Linked DNA regions of Saccharomyces cerevisiae S288C. Changing the gene in region 1 together with any one later gene gives a genetic interaction. Each region holds a gene or a part of one and is shown in the gene's direction. Other genes may lie near its edges.

Region 1 (8,028 bases):
TGCTGCCAACATTACACCGGGAGTAAATGTCCAAAAGAAGGCAATATATAACCCGCAATCAGGCTGGTAATTCTAGCCAAATATTACAGCCGCACAACATTTATATTCATATTTATATGTGCCAGGAAAAGCCTCTTCAATAATAGAGTTAAAATAGATGATTTCCATATTTGGTCGGCAAAGCAGTGCAAGAAACTCAAATGAAGCATACACTAACCAGAATCGGTAAAAAGACGGAAAAGAGATCATATAACCTCGACAGGTTCTTCTTTATATGAGATGGAAATAAACTTATCTAATAGAATTAATAGGAAAAGAACAGAGGCAACGTTAAACGCATCGAAATGTAAAGTATATGCGCTCCAAAACGAATATAGTTTGATACAACTAAATTCTGCTTAAGAGATCAATTTCGAAATTCACGCCTATAAGTAATTTGACTACTTCTAAATCAGCATGTTTCTGAAGAGATCGGAATCCTAAATAGCGTTCAAATGCACCACTAGCTTTGAAAAAAACAGAGTTGGAAGAGTTTATTGGGAGGTTAGTGGTGACTTTACACGGTCAGCTTTATGATACCGCTATTGCTTCAGTTTTCTATTTTTCTCCTTATTAACAGGCCGATGGTCATAATAGTGGTTTACGAAGAAAAAAGGGAGGTTAATATTTCAAGGGAAGCTGGCACTTGACTAAAGAACTGGAGCTGTTGCTTATACTAGTGAACCTCAAATCCAATCTAAATACAGCTAGAAAATTCATTTCTTTTTTCCTCCTTTTTTCACAGGCCTAGGAAGCTTCTTGATCTGCCTTGCGAACAATGGCAACGCGTATCTTATCTCTTGAAAAGTATTTGGTTCTTATTCAGTCATCCTTTGTTGGTTATATAGTATAAGTACATGCCATGACGAAATTCAGGAGTTACTCTGGAGTGTAATGCTGCTGCGTTTTAGTTATAAATAATATATCATCTTAAGGTGATCGATCCAGTGCTTAGATAATAATTCAGTTCACAAATTCGGCATGGAGGACCACCCACGCATTATTGTCGGTTTATGCTATATATAAGTTTAATTATAATTAGGATGAGCTAGTTCGCCAACTAAATATAAAATCAGAGAATGAAAACATTTCAGTGAAAGTTAGTCAATAAAACAGTAATTGGGATCATCAATTGCAGTATCTATTATTAGTATATTCTACTAAGTCCTACATAATATATATTTAACGGTACTACAGTACGGCTCGAGTTACTTAGCTAATCAAGCAATTAAAAACAAGTTTCTGTCAAACAAGTGTATTAAAGGCGAAACTGTACCAGTTATCTGACCTCATTGAAATGAGACATCACCCGCTTATATGTTGGTATCCATAACTGATAATCTTACCAACTATTTAATCGTTACAGTTTCCCATATATAGCTCCTCAAATGCCGCAATATAGTTTCTTCTCAAAACGTCATAAGCAGTTAAATGTCGCATCCGTCTAATGGCCTCTTGAAAAAGGAGGTCAGGCTCCATTTGCAAAGACATTTTCCGCCCACACTTTGACTGCTTTGTTGCATATGAAGATGTTGCTTCAAATTCAGGAATAATGCTGTCATCATACAGATATTGGACAGTTTGGTCATCCAAAAGAATAGGGACACAGGAACACAAAACTGTCATCCGCTCCGGCTCATACTTTAAATTTGCTTCTGTAGGTAATGTATGTAACTTGAAGTCCGCACCTCGTAGGAATTTTTTCTTTATTTGTTTACAAAATTTAAATAAGGTTTTGGCTTTCAGCGGGATAGGATCTTGATATTTTTTGAAGTCATTCCACTTAACTAAATTCATTTGGTCAATCATGGCACGCTGATGATCTTTTAGCAGTGTCAGTAAGCGCGGATCCTTTGGGTTAATCGGTTTTTCCTCTGCTAGGTCGATTAGAAATCCATCTGCTACTAAAAACCTCGGCGAAACATACTCCTCCTCTGTACTAAACTTTTTTTCAGCTGCCCACATATTTTCCATTTGTTTTATCAGAGTAATCAAAAGGTCTTCCTTAATAAGTTCGAGTGTAATTTTATATTCTTCAATGCTCTGGTAATATTCCTTATCAAAGCTAGCCTGCATCTCAGGATTCGCCTGAAAAGTATCCCTTATCTCTTCTAAAGATTGTGTGGTTTTTTCTATGCATATTTTTTCCAACCTTCTTGCCAATTCTTCAACAAGTTCAATATAATTTTTATCTTGACCAGCAGACATCAACAGTAAGGTGACTCTGGACACAGGAAATTTCGAAATTTGATCTAGGACCTCGCTAGAAACCTTATTCACCCTGATATTATTTTTTTCCTTTTGACTATTAAATTGCGTATGCACATTCTCTATTTGAGAAATATCTGCTGAGATCTTTCTTTTTACAACCTCTGCTTCAGTAAACTGCTGTTTTTTTATGTCTGAATAATCCAGGTTGGAGATAGTATTCTCCACAATTGGCTTTTCCCTGACAATAAACCTATAATCGTTATTTTTACTTTTGAATGAATCTGGGGCTGTTGAATTTGATATGGCATATGCAATATGTGTTGCTTTGGCAGTTGTCGTTCTCTTCACACGATACCACAGTGGAGCCTTACCGCATTTTCCATTTTCCATTACTTTACAAAATTTAACAAATACCCTCTTTCCTAATAATTGAAATAGCAGATCATCCTTTACAAAATAAAAATTTGAATTCAAACTATAAAGTATGTCAAGGCTTACCGGATTGTAAGTTTTTCTTAAATGGGCCCATTTTGTTAAGCCAACCTGACTCCTCAAATTGTTATCGTTCCACCTATAGAGCCTCCTTTCATTTAAGTATAGAAGGAAGCCCTCAATTATAATGTATTGATGACTAACATTGATCTCAATAAGGGGATACTCCCGATCAGGGTTTACATCCAATGAAAATTCACATACCCCCGCTAAGGGCTTTTCTTTATCTTTTAGCATCGGATGTATGTACACGGTGCCCCATTTTGGTAAATATAACCTGCAGCATTTACAAGTTAATTTCTTGACAACTTTGTAACGTAATTTGCTTCTGATCCTCTTCAGAATTATTCTTCCATCTTCTAACAAGAAAAACTCTCGCAAAACTAGCTTTATGTGTTTAAATAGTTCCATAGATTTCACTCCAACGAGCACCGAATTAGAATCCTTCTTTAATCGCGTCCAGTCCACCAAGTTTTGTTGTGATAGCTTTTTGTAGTCATCGTCATTGGGTAACAGTAATCTTACTTCAGGACTCCGAAAATTTATTGGTTTTCGCTTCACAGTGTCTACCAGCCATCCATCAATAACTGCAAGCCTGGAGTTGATCTGTAGCATTTTTTTTGATATTATCTTATAATTTTTCAGCTGCTTATAACGACGTGTGATTATTGACATTATTGTTCTCATTCTTATATTACTCAATATACATTCCGGGTCACATGTGCCCAAATTCTCGCGACAAACTTTTCGAGGCCGATATTAATAAACCATAGAAAAAGTACTGATCCTCGAAATCAGAGTTAAAGACTTTTAGAAGATTGGAAGTAAGGAATCCACCATTCGCTTGAGGTTTCGGGTTAGAAATTCTTTGCCTACCATTCGTTGCAAGCCTCTTTAGATTCTGCTTGCTGACTCGCTCGCTATTTGTTCTTTTTCAACAGAAAGCATAGACTTATTATTGTGACTAAGGATCAGTTATCGTTTGCCTGCTCGGGACAATTAAAACGAATATCTCTAAGTTGGATATTTTATACTGTGAGGCAGTTTTTGTACTGAGTTATTGAGTATTAGACAAAATTTCGAGTCCTTATTTTACTCTTCACCTAGGTCCGGCTTCTTAGTTTTGTGTTATTTATCAGGGATATATTTTTTTTTTGGGAGCTCATCGTAGTAAGAAGTAAAAGAGATGACTGCCAGCACATCAGTTGCGGTGGGTTGTGCGGTGGGTATACCCGTCGGTGTAGGTATTATAATAGCAGTATGTTTCTGGTTTAACCTACAAAAAAGATACAAGAGGGAGGAACAAGACGATAGAGAATTGGAAAGGGCTATTTATGATGAAAGTGGTTTCGTGTCCTTTGACAATTTTGGACCCTTAAGAGACAGTAAAGATGAAGCAGCACTAGCCAGCTCCGAGCTAAAAAATCCTGATCACACTTCTGGTTCATCGGAAGGATCTGCTCATCCAGAAGAAAAAGATGGAAAATCGCGAGATCAAGAGAAACCGTTAGGGAAAAAGAATAGTAAATACTATGTGCCAGCATACCGTAGGAAAATAAATTTACTTCAAGTACGAAATAATAACTACGGCAATAATGCCAGGCAGAAGTCCGTTGTGGATTTACCAAGTATAAATAACAGCTCCAATGTTTCCTTATCATCTTCCCAACGGCATATAACAAAGAGACAGATCAGCGTTTATGATCAGATGGTCCCTGTTATTTCTGATGAAGGACCAAACTTTTTCGCAGATCCTTCCAGTGATACTAATACTAGCAATGACCAAAACAAAGCTTCGATGATAGAACTTAAACATAATACTCGCCAATCTAGTAATGAAAATCTGATAAGAAATTTGCAGAATCAGGACTTTGGTTCGTATTACCCAAGGAGAGCTTCATCCTCGTTTTTAAATGGTAACATTTCAAACGCGTCCTTCCATACAAGGAATTCCTCTATAACATCGGTAAATAAGCGCGATGCCCTAGAGGATGTGTTTGCAACACCCAAAAGTGCGGCTCAATCACAGTTACCAAACACTTTTGATAAAGATAACGAAGGAATGGATGCTGACCACTCGGTAAAGGATAGCAGGTCTGCAATAACAGATAAAGATAAGGATTTATACAAATTACAGAATAACTATGATGTGGGCAATATCGGGGAAATTGCTGAGGAAGATCAATACGAAAACGAATTTACCAACTACTCACAGAGTAAGAGAGAGTTCATAGAAAGTCTAAGGCCTAAATAGTACTGTTGATATACTAAACATTATATTATAGTTAAAAAAAGAAGAAAAAAAGAGGAACAATTCTATTAAATTCACTTCAAACATCAAACGTAAACAATACAAACAGAACTCTTCATGGATGATGGGTTTTAAAAAATTAGTCAAGACATAATTCTTAAAGTTCATAGTCTCATTTTTCATTTTCTTTTTGCCTGCTTTCTCTTTTATACATCGCCGCATAATTTACTAAACGCCCTTTGTGTTTGTGGGCGGAAAGAAATATATTCCCTTAAAATTTCCAGGAAATTATGTTGCTACAATGACTTATAAAGGGAAAAAATAAGAAGAGAAATCTTGGAAGAATACCCTAGTAAAATAGTGTACAAGGCAAAGTTCTTAATTATGCAAAATCGCCGTATATGAAATAGAACAACTTTTTATACAGCTTAAATACAGAATTCAAGTATGTTAATCAACATGAAAGAAAAAAAAAAAAAAATGCGAGTCATGAAACTACACGTTTTTTTCAGAGAATATTATCCATCTTGTGCTATGTATAATATACACTTATGCTTATTACAAAACTAATATGTTAAACAATTGAAAGATTTGTGTTTTTTTTCGGCCTTGCCTTCTCAACTAGGATTCAGTGGCAGGACTGACCCATTATCGGTAGAACCTCCTGACGTCATATCATGCTCGCTCGTCTTCTTAGCCTCATTATGCAGTGTATCTGCCTTTTTATCCAACAGTTCGTTAAAAAAATCGTATCCTCCGCTATGGGAACCTAGGCTGCTATCTTCTGTATGTGAGCCAATCCCTTGATGTACCACTTGAGGCTTGGCACCATCATTTTCAGCTGACTTTTCAACTGGAGGATTTGGATTCGTAGTAGCCAAGGATCTTAACGTTTCCCAAAAATCCAGGCCGTCTTCATCTCTCAATGGAGTATCAGATCTGGATGTAGTCCTTGATATCTCCGACTGATCAATGTGATTGAATTTATTGGTTGTCACAGATGATGAAGAATGATGCTGAGATGATTCACTTTTTCTTTTTTCTTTTTTCTTAGTTTTACTGCCGTTACTTCTTACTGAATTTGGAGATGGATTGAGTAACTTATTCAAGTCAGCACCTCTTGTCGCATCTGATGAGCCTAAATGAGGCCGTATAGTTGGTGGCAAATAGTTGAAATGCGCTATTCTATTAGGACCTACATCAGGTGGCATTTCTGAACCGCTCGTTGTATATGATGCCGTCGAACTTGGTGCCTTGCCATTTGTTCCATTGAAATTCGGTGACATACTATTAGCACTAACGTTTCCTTGAATGATTTCATTATTTGTAGCGGTAGAATTAGTTGGGATCAATGTATTTGCTTGAGGATAAAATACAGACGGGCTGTTTGTTTCTCTATTGCTTTGTGAACCAAGTTCATTTGCATTGTCAGCGGGATTGTGTGAAGTTGCTTCCAAGCTGAATGCGTTATAGTTGGGTGTTCTTGATAAAAAATCGCTATCCATGTTGTCCAGAGAAGTCCTATATTCTGGGTTAAAAGTGTCACTATTTGAATTTAACCCTGGAAGACCATTTCCCAGTTGTCTACCCATATGTGGGAAACTATCCATTAATAGAGGGTTTCCATTTATATTTCCTATATTTGACAATCCAGTATTGCTGCTGACAGGATGGTCTGTGGATGTAACATAATGATTGTGAATATGTTGATGTATCGAAATTTTTAAAGAGTACTTCTTAGCTTGGTCAACCAATTCTTTTACTAATTTTGTGCTGTCAATAGTTCCGTTAGAAATTGACAAACCTTGACCATCTTTTAATGTAAATTTCCATTGTGTGCTAGAGGAATTTGGTTCTCTAGTTTTCACAGTAGAATAAGCATGCTTCGGAGAATCTGAAATACTATTACTATTCATCATATGCTCATCGAGAGATGCTGGATTGAATGCTGGGGGAAGGCTTGTCTGTGGGCTATCTGAGATTCCTCCAGGACTTTGCTTGTTCATTTGAGAAAGACCTTCAATTGGTAAAGATACTTTGCTCCTAATGCTACCACTGGTATGAGTCTGACCGACTTGCGTCATCCTGATTGGTGGAGGTGCAGATATCTCTTTTAAGGGAGGTAATGCTTGTGGCTTGCTGTCATTTAAAATGGGTCCATCATTATCCTTTAATCTTGGTAGTTTGCTCGATTCGTTCTCTTTAACATTCAATATATCCTGCTTTATCAATGAAGGGTTGTTCTGTTGAGATAGCTGCAACTGTTCTTCTTTATTCGGTGTAGAATCTGAGCGTATATCAGAATCGGCGATTGGATGTTGTCGGAGTTTTCCGTCTGTCATGTCTATGTTCTTGTTTTCTTTTATAGCCTTTGTTATTACTTCTGATGCTTGTCCTCGCACAACCATAGTAATAATTTTCCGCCATCTGTTCCTGCACGTTAAACTTGGTCTGAATTCCATTTCCGACGAAATCTTTCTCCATTTCGTGCCGTATGCCTTCACTTTACTTATCAGATTTAAATCTTCCTCGAGCGTCCATTCTCTTAATCTACCTTTACTTCCAGGTCCCAACACTTCAATGTACCTTTTCGCACATTGATCCTCTGTTCTTCCAGGGATATCCATGGAGATACTCAGCCAGTGAGGCCCATGTTCTTCATAAGCTTTCAAGAGCTGCTCATCCTCTTCTTGTGTCCATTTACCTTTCTTCAAGTTTGGGTCCAGAGATCCTGTCCAACGCTTTCTTACATCCTTTGAAGTTCTTACGGTGTGTTTGAATCGTGTAGCTAAAACATCCCAAGCAATACATTTAGAAAGATGGTTGGATTGTTGAATTGTTTTTACGTCTTCAAGTCCATTCTCATAGCCTAACTCCTTTGCGGATTCGTTTACTAGCGATCGTAGCATATTATCGTCGTCCTTTGACCATGAATTTCTTCCATTTTTCCTGTGTGTCTGATAGCCAAGTGATTCAGTCACTTCAAGTAAATCGAAGCCGGATCCTCTTTTTGGCTTACTTTTTCGTATATCTTT
Region 2 (4,649 bases), on another chromosome or scaffold:
AATTTTACTGCTCAATTCGCTTCCGTGAGCGCCACGTCTTTTATTTACTGGTATTATTGCTTCATCAGAACTTTCTGAACTAACTTCATCTGTTTCCTCTTCAAGCCCACCATCATCACTCACTTCTGGATTATTTGCATATACAAAATTCTCTCGGCCGTCAACGAGTTCTGTAGATGTCTTCTCTGGCTTTGACCCAGGTTTACTTGAAAGCACAGATGTTTCATTGTTTGGCTCATAATCGGATTCCTGTTCTGAAGAGTTTATTGGTATTTCCTCTGAAACAATTAGTTCCTTTGATATAGATCTTTTTTGTAAAATTTTCGAAGAATCTGTAGGTGATGTGAGCGCAGAAGGGGACGCCGATGAGATGTTAGGGGAAACAGACTCTTCTTGGGGAGAAATTGAACCATGAGTTGTTGACGTTCCTCGCTGAGACGGTATATTTCCATTATTTACGTCATCATCTGCAGAGGGCTCGATTTTAATTTTTTTCATTGAAGGTTTCTTTGCTAGTCTTTTTGAAGATCTTTCAACTCCCATCTTATGCATCACCTGTCTATTTGTCTTCTGCCCACTCACTGGTACAGATACTCTTTTCAAGTATTCATCAGATTGTTTGGGTTCCATTTCCTTTACTCTTCTTATGATTTGAAAAATATCAATTGGTACAAACTTTTCCGCAGTAGGTTCGCATGCATAACGTACTAGAAAATCTCTATCCTCTATTTTATCGATACTACTATCATTCCATTGTGACTCTGGCAGTATCTGTCCAACTGCAATGAAATCCTTAAGCCAAATCTCTGATAGCTCAGCAGTTAAATATAACTCGCTCTTATTTACTTCGTTGAAAAATTTATCTTTGTAAAATTCTAAAGGATGATCTTCCTTTATTAGATCTGGCCTGAATTGTTCGTAGTACAGTTTTGGTTTGAGTTCAAACCATCTCAAGTAAGAAAAAACCCAAATCTCCACAACATTATTAAGTGTATTGAGTCTGATCTCATGGATCAAGTAGACAGAATATGTTTCCGTCACATTATCATTAAATATCACGCTCTCACCCTTCCCAAAACTCAATCCATCAGAAATTCTTTTCAGAAATACGTTTTCTCCTCCTCTTTTTCTTGATCTTCTTCTATTGTTGTCGTCAATAACCCTCCCCTGATCATCTGTAATGATAACTTGCCAACCGTCCAAATCTTTCAATGTTTTAGCCATTTTAGCTAATCCAATTGTTAGAACAAAACAACTTTCTTAAACCCCTGTAAGGAAGGTGATGAAAGGGCTGCTTATGTGTTTTTCTTTTTCATACTATGTTCATTTTAACTTTTTTGGAAAGAATAGCGTTTTCGCGGTCATATTACTGATGCGATGAAAATTTACAATTATTTCTTTATTTAGATTGATACATAATATGGTTAACTTTAAATACATCTTTTGGACGCCGCATAAACAAACGTCCCGAATACTTTGTTCCCCTGGATTCGTTGTTTGCTTAACACTGTCAACTCTCTACTTAGTTTCATTTACACCATTTCTTTGTGTATCAGTCATTGCGAATACCCTTGCATATCTAATGGATCGAAAATAAATGGTGATGTCAAGAATACGAGATACAATAGCCAGGCCATTCCAGAACCTTACAGCCCTTGAGAAAGTGGTACAGTGGCTAAGATTAGGGACGACATTACTCATAATCTCTTTCGGGTTGGCGTTGACTGTCGGACCCCTTTCTTCGCCAAGAACATTGTACATGTCACGACTGGATACTTACTCTGCTGATATTACGACGGGTTTATTTACCGTGTTGAGAGAGTCTATGGAGCAGTCGACATCTACAGAAGAAAATAACGGTGTAGGCTTAACAACATCCGAACTGTATATATTGACTGCTTACACCGAAAGTCAGATAAAGAATGTTCCTCAGTACATCACAGTGTCGCTTTATGGGAGGTGCGATTCAACATATACCATGGTGGAAGTATTCGACTCTGAAGGAAATATGCATAGCGTAAAGAATTCGACTACTAAGAGTACCTGCAGTAGCATAGGAACGGACTATCTTTTTGATTATCGTGAGGTTTTAGAAAGCTTGGGTTTAGATATCATTTTAGATTATGCATACAACAAAATCGGTTCACAACAGGCAGAAAGTTCTGCATACACGACCTACATGAGGAGTTTAAAACATAAAAAGGCCAACGTGTTACATTTACTCTATGCAGTTATTAGTTTCCAGGTGTGTATGTTATTTTTCATGATATGGTACTACTACATAAAGGGAAGGTTTATGAACGCCCTCAAAGAAAGGGCACTTGTTCATATCAACTCTCTACTATCGCTAGTTGTTTTCATTGGGGGCCTGATAAGTAGCATAAGCCTTGCCTGGGTTAACTACACTATTCAGTCTAGAATTAATACAGAATTAGAGGCCTTCGGGTTTTCTTACCATCTTGGAGTTACATGGTTTGCGCTTCTGTGGTGTTTTGCAGGTTTGATTTCTGTGTCATGCTTAGCTTGGTCTGGCTTAGAATGGTGTATTTCCGATAATGGCACGTCCTATGGAGGTGGAATCGATGATAAATTCTTAGGCTACCAAGCCGGTGTATTTACTGATGCAGATCTAGACGATGAAACTTCTTACAGTCAACGTTATCCGCAACGACAGTCTACTTCGGGCGAGGCTGAACTGATGAGAAACAGTGATACTATGGCAACAATAAGAAAAACATCTGATGTTGACTTAAATAGTGAAAATGATGCTAACACCAGTTTAGACCATGGAAATCCCACCGCAAATATAAGCAATGGCGGCAAACACGAACCATTTGCTACTAGAGAGGAATTCGAATTGCAGGACATAAGATTCCGGTCAAGCAACGACAGTGAAGAAAGTATGCAAAGGGTTATCAAGCCTTCGTCAGCATTACAGTTTTGAATTCTTTCACCCATCATTCAAAATGCATATGCATACTATATTTGTCTAGTTTTTAATTATATAATAATAATAACAGAAACAAAAAATCGCATTCATCGTTTAATCTTATTTTTCTTTTTTCACCTTTTTCTTGTGAAATTGCCAAGCGCTTAAAAAATCGTTATTTCAGAACTAAACATCATTAAGCAACGAAGAAGAGAAAAGCGGAACTATAACCATGAGTGATACTACGGAAGTCCCTAGGCAATCATCTGAGAACGACCAGGATAATAACTTGGAAAGAACCAACTCATTAAAAAGTCCGGACGTGACCAACAATATACCAAGTCTTTTCAAATTAGCCGCCGAATGGCAAATCAACAATCCACAGGAAACCTTCCAAAACCATATCCTGGAAAATGATGTACTCAAGAAAATTAATGAAATCACTCATTTGATCCGGGAATCGTACAAAGACCTCTCCAGTCAAGATGGGATGATGTCCAAACAACAACAGGAAAAGATGGATTGGGATTTGTTTTGTACTGTTCCTGTAAACATTATTGAGCAATATACAAAAGACATGGACGAAATATATGAAAAAATGGAAAGGCTAGCAAAAGTAAGTATAGGTCGAAACTAGGCATCCTGTGCCATCTCAATTTTACTACGTTCTTTTACTAATAATGCAAATTTAATAACAGCAACAACGTCTTTGGTGTGAATCCGCTTTTCAAATAGACGTGGAAAGATGTGGTGACTCCATTCTCAATGCTGAAACGTGGATGAAGAAGAAAGAGCGCCATTTAGAGTACAAAAATATTGAAATGGAAAGATCCGCAAATGAAATTAAGGAAACTATTCAAAGACTAACAGATGATAGATGAGCCATACTCAAATATATCTGCGATATTGCTAATGTTAGCTATTTCTCACATTTGCTTTTTTTGATTTTATTTATTTACTTTTACGACAACTGGCCTTATCACTCGGCTCTCTAAAAGAAGTCATGTTCCCTTCGTTGGGTTAATTTTTTTTTTTTTTTTTTTTGTTTATATGTTTTTTTTTTTTTTGCCAGGTATTGTTAGCGCCAGATAGCAAAAAATTTTATTCAGGGATACTGAACACCGGGGAAGTTAACTGAGTATATCGGTTATCATTATAAACACAAGAATGTAAGCCAGAAAGAAAAATAAACGTCCACCCCTCGAACTTTCACATATAAGCAAGTAAAGAAAAAGTTAACAAAAGGAGGTTCAGAACATGACAATTGAAAGCACTCTAGCTCGGGAATTAGAAAGCTTGATTTTACCCGCTGATTCCATAGTGAATGTAGTTGACCAATTCCAAGAGGAGTTGTTATCACGGCTTCAGACAAATACGATTTCTATGCTCCCGCAGTGTTTAGTCCCAGATAAACGATCGCGATGGAACCCTGAAGACAAAATTCTGACCATTGATTTCGGCGGGACAAGACTGAAATTTGCAATTATCTCTCTGCCCCAAATCGTTATCGAATACAATGATGCCTTCGAACTTACCTACAACATCGTTGATTCGAATTTCTTTAATCAAATCATCTATACAATATGTACCAGGCTGGCTGCAAATGGTTATATAAAAAAAAAGAACGAGTCATCTGAGGCGTCTAAATTTTTTGTTTCCGTGACATTCAGTTTTCCTCTAAATCCAGAAGGGGAGGTAGTTGCAATGGGAAAAGGATTTG
Region 3 (5,663 bases), on another chromosome or scaffold:
ACCAAATCGTCTCCTCGGCTGATCAAGACATCGACTCACGTCTCGTGCAATACTTGTTAGCAGCTCCAACAGAAGACGGTGGCCAATACAGCATGTTTTTGAACCTAGTCAAGAAGTATGGCCTTATCCCCAAAGATTTATACGGGGATCTACCTTATTCTACTACTGCGTCCAGAAAATGGAATTCTCTGTTGACTACTAAACTGAGAGAATTTGCCGAGACTCTAAGAACAGCTTTGAAAGAGCGTTCTGCCGATGATTCCATAATTGTCACTCTGAGAGAGCAAATGCAAAGAGAAATCTTCAGGTTGATGTCGTTGTTCATGGACATACCTCCAGTGCAACCAAACGAGCAATTCACTTGGGAATACGTTGACAAAGACAAGAAAATCCACACTATCAAATCGACTCCGTTAGAATTTGCCTCCAAATACGCAAAATTGGACCCTTCCACGCCAGTCTCATTGATCAATGATCCAAGACACCCATATGGTAAATTAATTAAGATCGATCGTTTAGGAAACGTCCTTGGCGGAGATGCCGTGATTTACTTAAATGTTGACAATGAAACACTATCTAAATTGGTTGTTAAGAGATTACAAAATAACAAAGCTGTCTTTTTTGGATCTCACACTCCAAAGTTCATGGACAAGAAAACTGGTGTCATGGATATTGAATTGTGGAACTATCCTGCCATCGGCTATAATTTACCTCAGCAAAAGGCATCGCGTATTAGATACCATGAAAGTTTGATGACTCATGCTATGTTGATCACTGGCTGCCACGTCGATGAAACGTCTAAATTACCACTTCGCTACCGCGTTGAAAATTCCTGGGGTAAAGACTCCGGTAAAGACGGATTATACGTGATGACTCAAAAGTACTTCGAGGAGTACTGCTTTCAAATTGTGGTCGATATCAATGAATTGCCAAAAGAGCTGGCTTCAAAATTCACCTCAGGTAAGGAAGAGCCGATTGTCTTGCCCATCTGGGACCCAATGGGTGCTTTGGCCAAATAAATAGTTTCAGCAGCTCTGATGTAGATACACGTATCTCGACATGTTTTATTTTTACTATACATACATAAAAGAAATAAAAAATGATAACGTGTATATTATTATTCATATAATCAATGAGGGTCATTTTCTGAAACGCAAAAAACGGTAAATGGAAAAAAAATAAAGATAGAAAAAGAAAACAAACAAAGGAAAGGTTAGCATATTAAATAACTGAGCTGATACTTCAACAGCATCGCTGAAGAGAACAGTATTGAAACCGAAACATTTTCTAAAGGCAAACAAGGTACTCCATATTTGCTGGACGTGTTCTTTCTCTCGTTTCATATGCATAATTCTGTCATAAGCCTGTTCTTTTTCCTGGCTTAAACATCCCGTTTTGTAAAAGAGAAATCTATTCCACATATTTCATTCATTCGGCTACCATACTAAGGATAAACTAATCCCGTTGTTTTTTGGCCTCGTCACATAATTATAAACTACTAACCCATTATCAGATGAAAGTGAGGAAATATATTACTTTATGCTTTTGGTGGGCCTTTTCAACATCCGCTCTTGTATCATCACAACAAATTCCATTGAAGGACCATACGTCACGACAGTATTTTGCTGTAGAAAGCAATGAAACATTATCCCGCTTGGAGGAAATGCATCCAAATTGGAAATATGAACATGATGTTCGAGGGCTACCAAACCATTATGTTTTTTCAAAAGAGTTGCTAAAATTGGGCAAAAGATCATCATTAGAAGAGTTACAGGGGGATAACAACGACCACATATTATCTGTCCATGATTTATTCCCGCGTAACGACCTATTTAAGAGACTACCGGTGCCTGCTCCACCAATGGACTCAAGCTTGTTACCGGTAAAAGAAGCTGAGGATAAACTCAGCATAAATGATCCGCTTTTTGAGAGGCAGTGGCACTTGGTCAATCCAAGTTTTCCTGGCAGTGATATAAATGTTCTTGATCTGTGGTACAATAATATTACAGGCGCAGGGGTCGTGGCTGCCATTGTTGATGATGGCCTTGACTACGAAAATGAAGACTTGAAGGATAATTTTTGCGCTGAAGGTTCTTGGGATTTCAACGACAATACCAATTTACCTAAACCAAGATTATCTGATGACTACCATGGTACGAGATGTGCAGGTGAAATAGCTGCCAAAAAAGGTAACAATTTTTGCGGTGTCGGGGTAGGTTACAACGCTAAAATCTCAGGCATAAGAATCTTATCCGGTGATATCACTACGGAAGATGAAGCTGCGTCCTTGATTTATGGTCTAGACGTAAACGATATATATTCATGCTCATGGGGTCCCGCTGATGACGGAAGACATTTACAAGGCCCTAGTGACCTGGTGAAAAAGGCTTTAGTAAAAGGTGTTACTGAGGGAAGAGATTCCAAAGGAGCGATTTACGTTTTTGCCAGTGGAAATGGTGGAACTCGTGGTGATAATTGCAATTACGACGGCTATACTAATTCCATATATTCTATTACTATTGGGGCTATTGATCACAAAGATCTACATCCTCCTTATTCCGAAGGTTGTTCCGCCGTCATGGCAGTCACGTATTCTTCAGGTTCAGGCGAATATATTCATTCGAGTGATATCAACGGCAGATGCAGTAATAGCCACGGTGGAACGTCTGCGGCTGCTCCATTAGCTGCCGGTGTTTACACTTTGTTACTAGAAGCCAACCCAAACCTAACTTGGAGAGACGTACAGTATTTATCAATCTTGTCTGCGGTAGGGTTAGAAAAGAACGCTGACGGAGATTGGAGAGATAGCGCCATGGGGAAGAAATACTCTCATCGCTATGGCTTTGGTAAAATCGATGCCCATAAGTTAATTGAAATGTCCAAGACCTGGGAGAATGTTAACGCACAAACCTGGTTTTACCTGCCAACATTGTATGTTTCCCAGTCCACAAACTCCACGGAAGAGACATTAGAATCCGTCATAACCATATCAGAAAAAAGTCTTCAAGATGCTAACTTCAAGAGAATTGAGCACGTCACGGTAACTGTAGATATTGATACAGAAATTAGGGGAACTACGACTGTCGATTTAATATCACCAGCGGGGATAATTTCAAACCTTGGCGTTGTAAGACCAAGAGATGTTTCATCAGAGGGATTCAAAGACTGGACATTCATGTCTGTAGCACATTGGGGTGAGAACGGCGTAGGTGATTGGAAAATCAAGGTTAAGACAACAGAAAATGGACACAGGATTGACTTCCACAGTTGGAGGCTGAAGCTCTTTGGGGAATCCATTGATTCATCTAAAACAGAAACTTTCGTCTTTGGAAACGATAAAGAGGAGGTTGAACCAGCTGCTACAGAAAGTACCGTATCACAATATTCTGCCAGTTCAACTTCTATTTCCATCAGCGCTACTTCTACATCTTCTATCTCAATTGGTGTGGAAACGTCGGCCATTCCCCAAACGACTACTGCGAGTACCGATCCTGATTCTGATCCAAACACTCCTAAAAAACTTTCCTCTCCTAGGCAAGCCATGCATTATTTTTTAACAATATTTTTGATTGGCGCCACATTTTTGGTGTTATACTTCATGTTTTTTATGAAATCAAGGAGAAGGATCAGAAGGTCAAGAGCGGAAACGTATGAATTCGATATCATTGATACAGACTCTGAGTACGATTCTACTTTGGACAATGGAACTTCCGGAATTACTGAGCCCGAAGAGGTTGAGGACTTCGATTTTGATTTGTCCGATGAAGACCATCTTGCAAGTTTGTCTTCATCAGAAAACGGTGATGCTGAACATACAATTGATAGTGTACTAACAAACGAAAATCCATTTAGTGACCCTATAAAGCAAAAGTTCCCAAATGACGCCAACGCAGAATCTGCTTCCAATAAATTACAAGAATTACAGCCTGATGTTCCTCCATCTTCCGGACGATCGTGATTCGATATGTACAGAAAGCTTCAAATTACAAAATAGCATTTTTTTCTTATAGATTATAATACTCTCTCATACGTATACGTATATGTGTATATGATATATAAACAAACATTAATATCCTATTCCTTCCGTTTGAAATCCCTATGATGTACTTTGCATTGTTTGCACCCGCGAATAAAATGAAAACTCCGAACCGATATATCAAGCACATAAAAGGGGAGGGTCCAATTAATGCATATTTAAGACCACAGCTGAATAACTTTAAAACGGCAGACAAAACAAAAAATAGGTCGAATAAACCTTACCTGCCTAGAAGGAATGACAGCAGCTAATAAGAATATTGTCTTCGGATTTTCCAGATCCATTAGCGCAATTCTACTAATATGCTTTTTCTTTGAAAAAGTCTGCGGTGATATGGAGCATGATATGGGCATGGATGATACTTCGGGATACACGAGGCCAGAAATTGTGCAGGCTGGGTCGAAATCTTTCCACTGGCTCTGCACTTTGGGATTCTTGTTGCTTTTACCATCCGTGGTGACGTGCCTTTCGTTCGCTGGCAGGATATATTCAGCTACCCTCTTACAATGCACTTGTGCCGTTTACGCTTTCTTAGAAGCTGCCGTATTAAGATTTCAAGACAATGATGGGGTAGAAAATAGAACTTCAAGGGGAACCGCATGGTTTTTGGTGGGACTTACTTGGATAACCTTATTCTTTGGTGGATTAGCTGGAGGAACTGGTTTCTTAGTGAAAAGCAAGAGGTTGCAAACGTTCATATCAAATGCAGGTGAGAAAAGGTTGTCATATATCCATCGTGGTTTATCCTTTCTAACTGTTCTAACAGGTTGGGTTAAAGTCTGTTTGGCACCTGTTGCGCTCTTTGGGTTTTGTAGAGAGGCACACACAGGGCAATGCATCGCTCATGGTATCATGGGATCCGCGTTTGTGTTGTACGGGTTCATTTATGTACTGGTTTTGGTTATACCATGGATTCGCAGTGCCCAAACCTCATATTCACAGGATTACGTCGACAGTTGGGTTATGTGCATATGGGGCGTTGTAAATACTTTTACTGAACACAGGTGGGGACGTGAAGGATGGAGTGTTCACGATTATCAACACACGTTTATGGGAATTATCTGGTGGACTGGTGGAATACTCGGGATTTTCCTTTCCAGAAATGGCAGAAGAACATTTGTACCAAGTTTGATTATTATTTTCACCGGATGGGCCATGTCTGAGCACGCCCAGCACTTGATAATTAGCACAAAAGTCCATAATATGTTTGGGCTAGTTTTAATGTGTGGAGGCGCTTTAAGAATTATCGAAATATCTTTTTTACTACGTGATAAAAGAACGCTGGACAAAATACATTCATTCCAATACCTTGCTCCCTTTTGTTTAGTATGTTCAGGTCTCCTATTTATGGGCGCAAACGAAGAACAACTCATTTTAGTGTTGCGGTTGGGAGGCGACCATAGTGCGTACGTTCTAATTATCGTATCAGGCGCATTTTTGGTCTACTTCTGGATGATTGCATGTTTGGAATTCTACCTATATCTACTTGAAAAGGGAAAACAAGGATTCCTTCCGAAATCATACGAACTTGAAGAGGAAAACAATAACGTGAGCTTTGAGCTAGATAACATATCGAACGAAGATGTGGATGAAGATACCACTCCCTTTAACGTTTGAATAGTGGGCA

Evidence for each region. A genetic interaction does not mean that the proteins touch.
Region 2: mutations in SKG1 (region 1) and ECM7 together harm fitness more than expected from each alone (negative genetic interaction), as found in Saccharomyces cerevisiae (2 studies listed by BioGRID).
Region 3: of SKG1 (region 1) and KEX2, extra expression of one rescues a mutant of the other (dosage rescue), as found in Saccharomyces cerevisiae (one study listed by BioGRID).

What each region holds. Positions count from the first base shown.
Region 1 is NC_001143.9:635,869-643,896, reverse strand, and holds SKG1 (Skg1p), read left to right. Parts: upstream 1-3,928; coding exon 3,929-4,996; downstream 4,997-8,028. Other genes in the region: SIR1 (Sir1p), read right to left, coding at 1,393-3,357; BAS1 (Bas1p), read right to left, coding at 5,611-8,028.
Region 2 is NC_001144.5:1,021,028-1,025,676, forward strand, and holds ECM7 (Ecm7p), read left to right. Parts: upstream 1-1,597; coding exon 1,598-2,944; downstream 2,945-4,649. Other genes in the region: chromatin-silencing protein SIR3, read right to left, coding at 1-1,224; GMC2 (Gmc2p), read left to right, coding at 3,162-3,545, 3,628-3,810; NGK1 (hexokinase), read left to right, coding at 4,187-4,649. UniProt on the Saccharomyces cerevisiae protein: May be involved in cell wall organization and biogenesis.
Region 3 is NC_001146.8:200,915-206,577, forward strand, and holds KEX2 (kexin KEX2), read left to right. Parts: upstream 1-1,513; coding exon 1,514-3,958; downstream 3,959-5,663. Other genes in the region: LAP3 (bleomycin hydrolase), read left to right, coding at 1-1,019; YTP1 (Ytp1p), read left to right, coding at 4,274-5,653.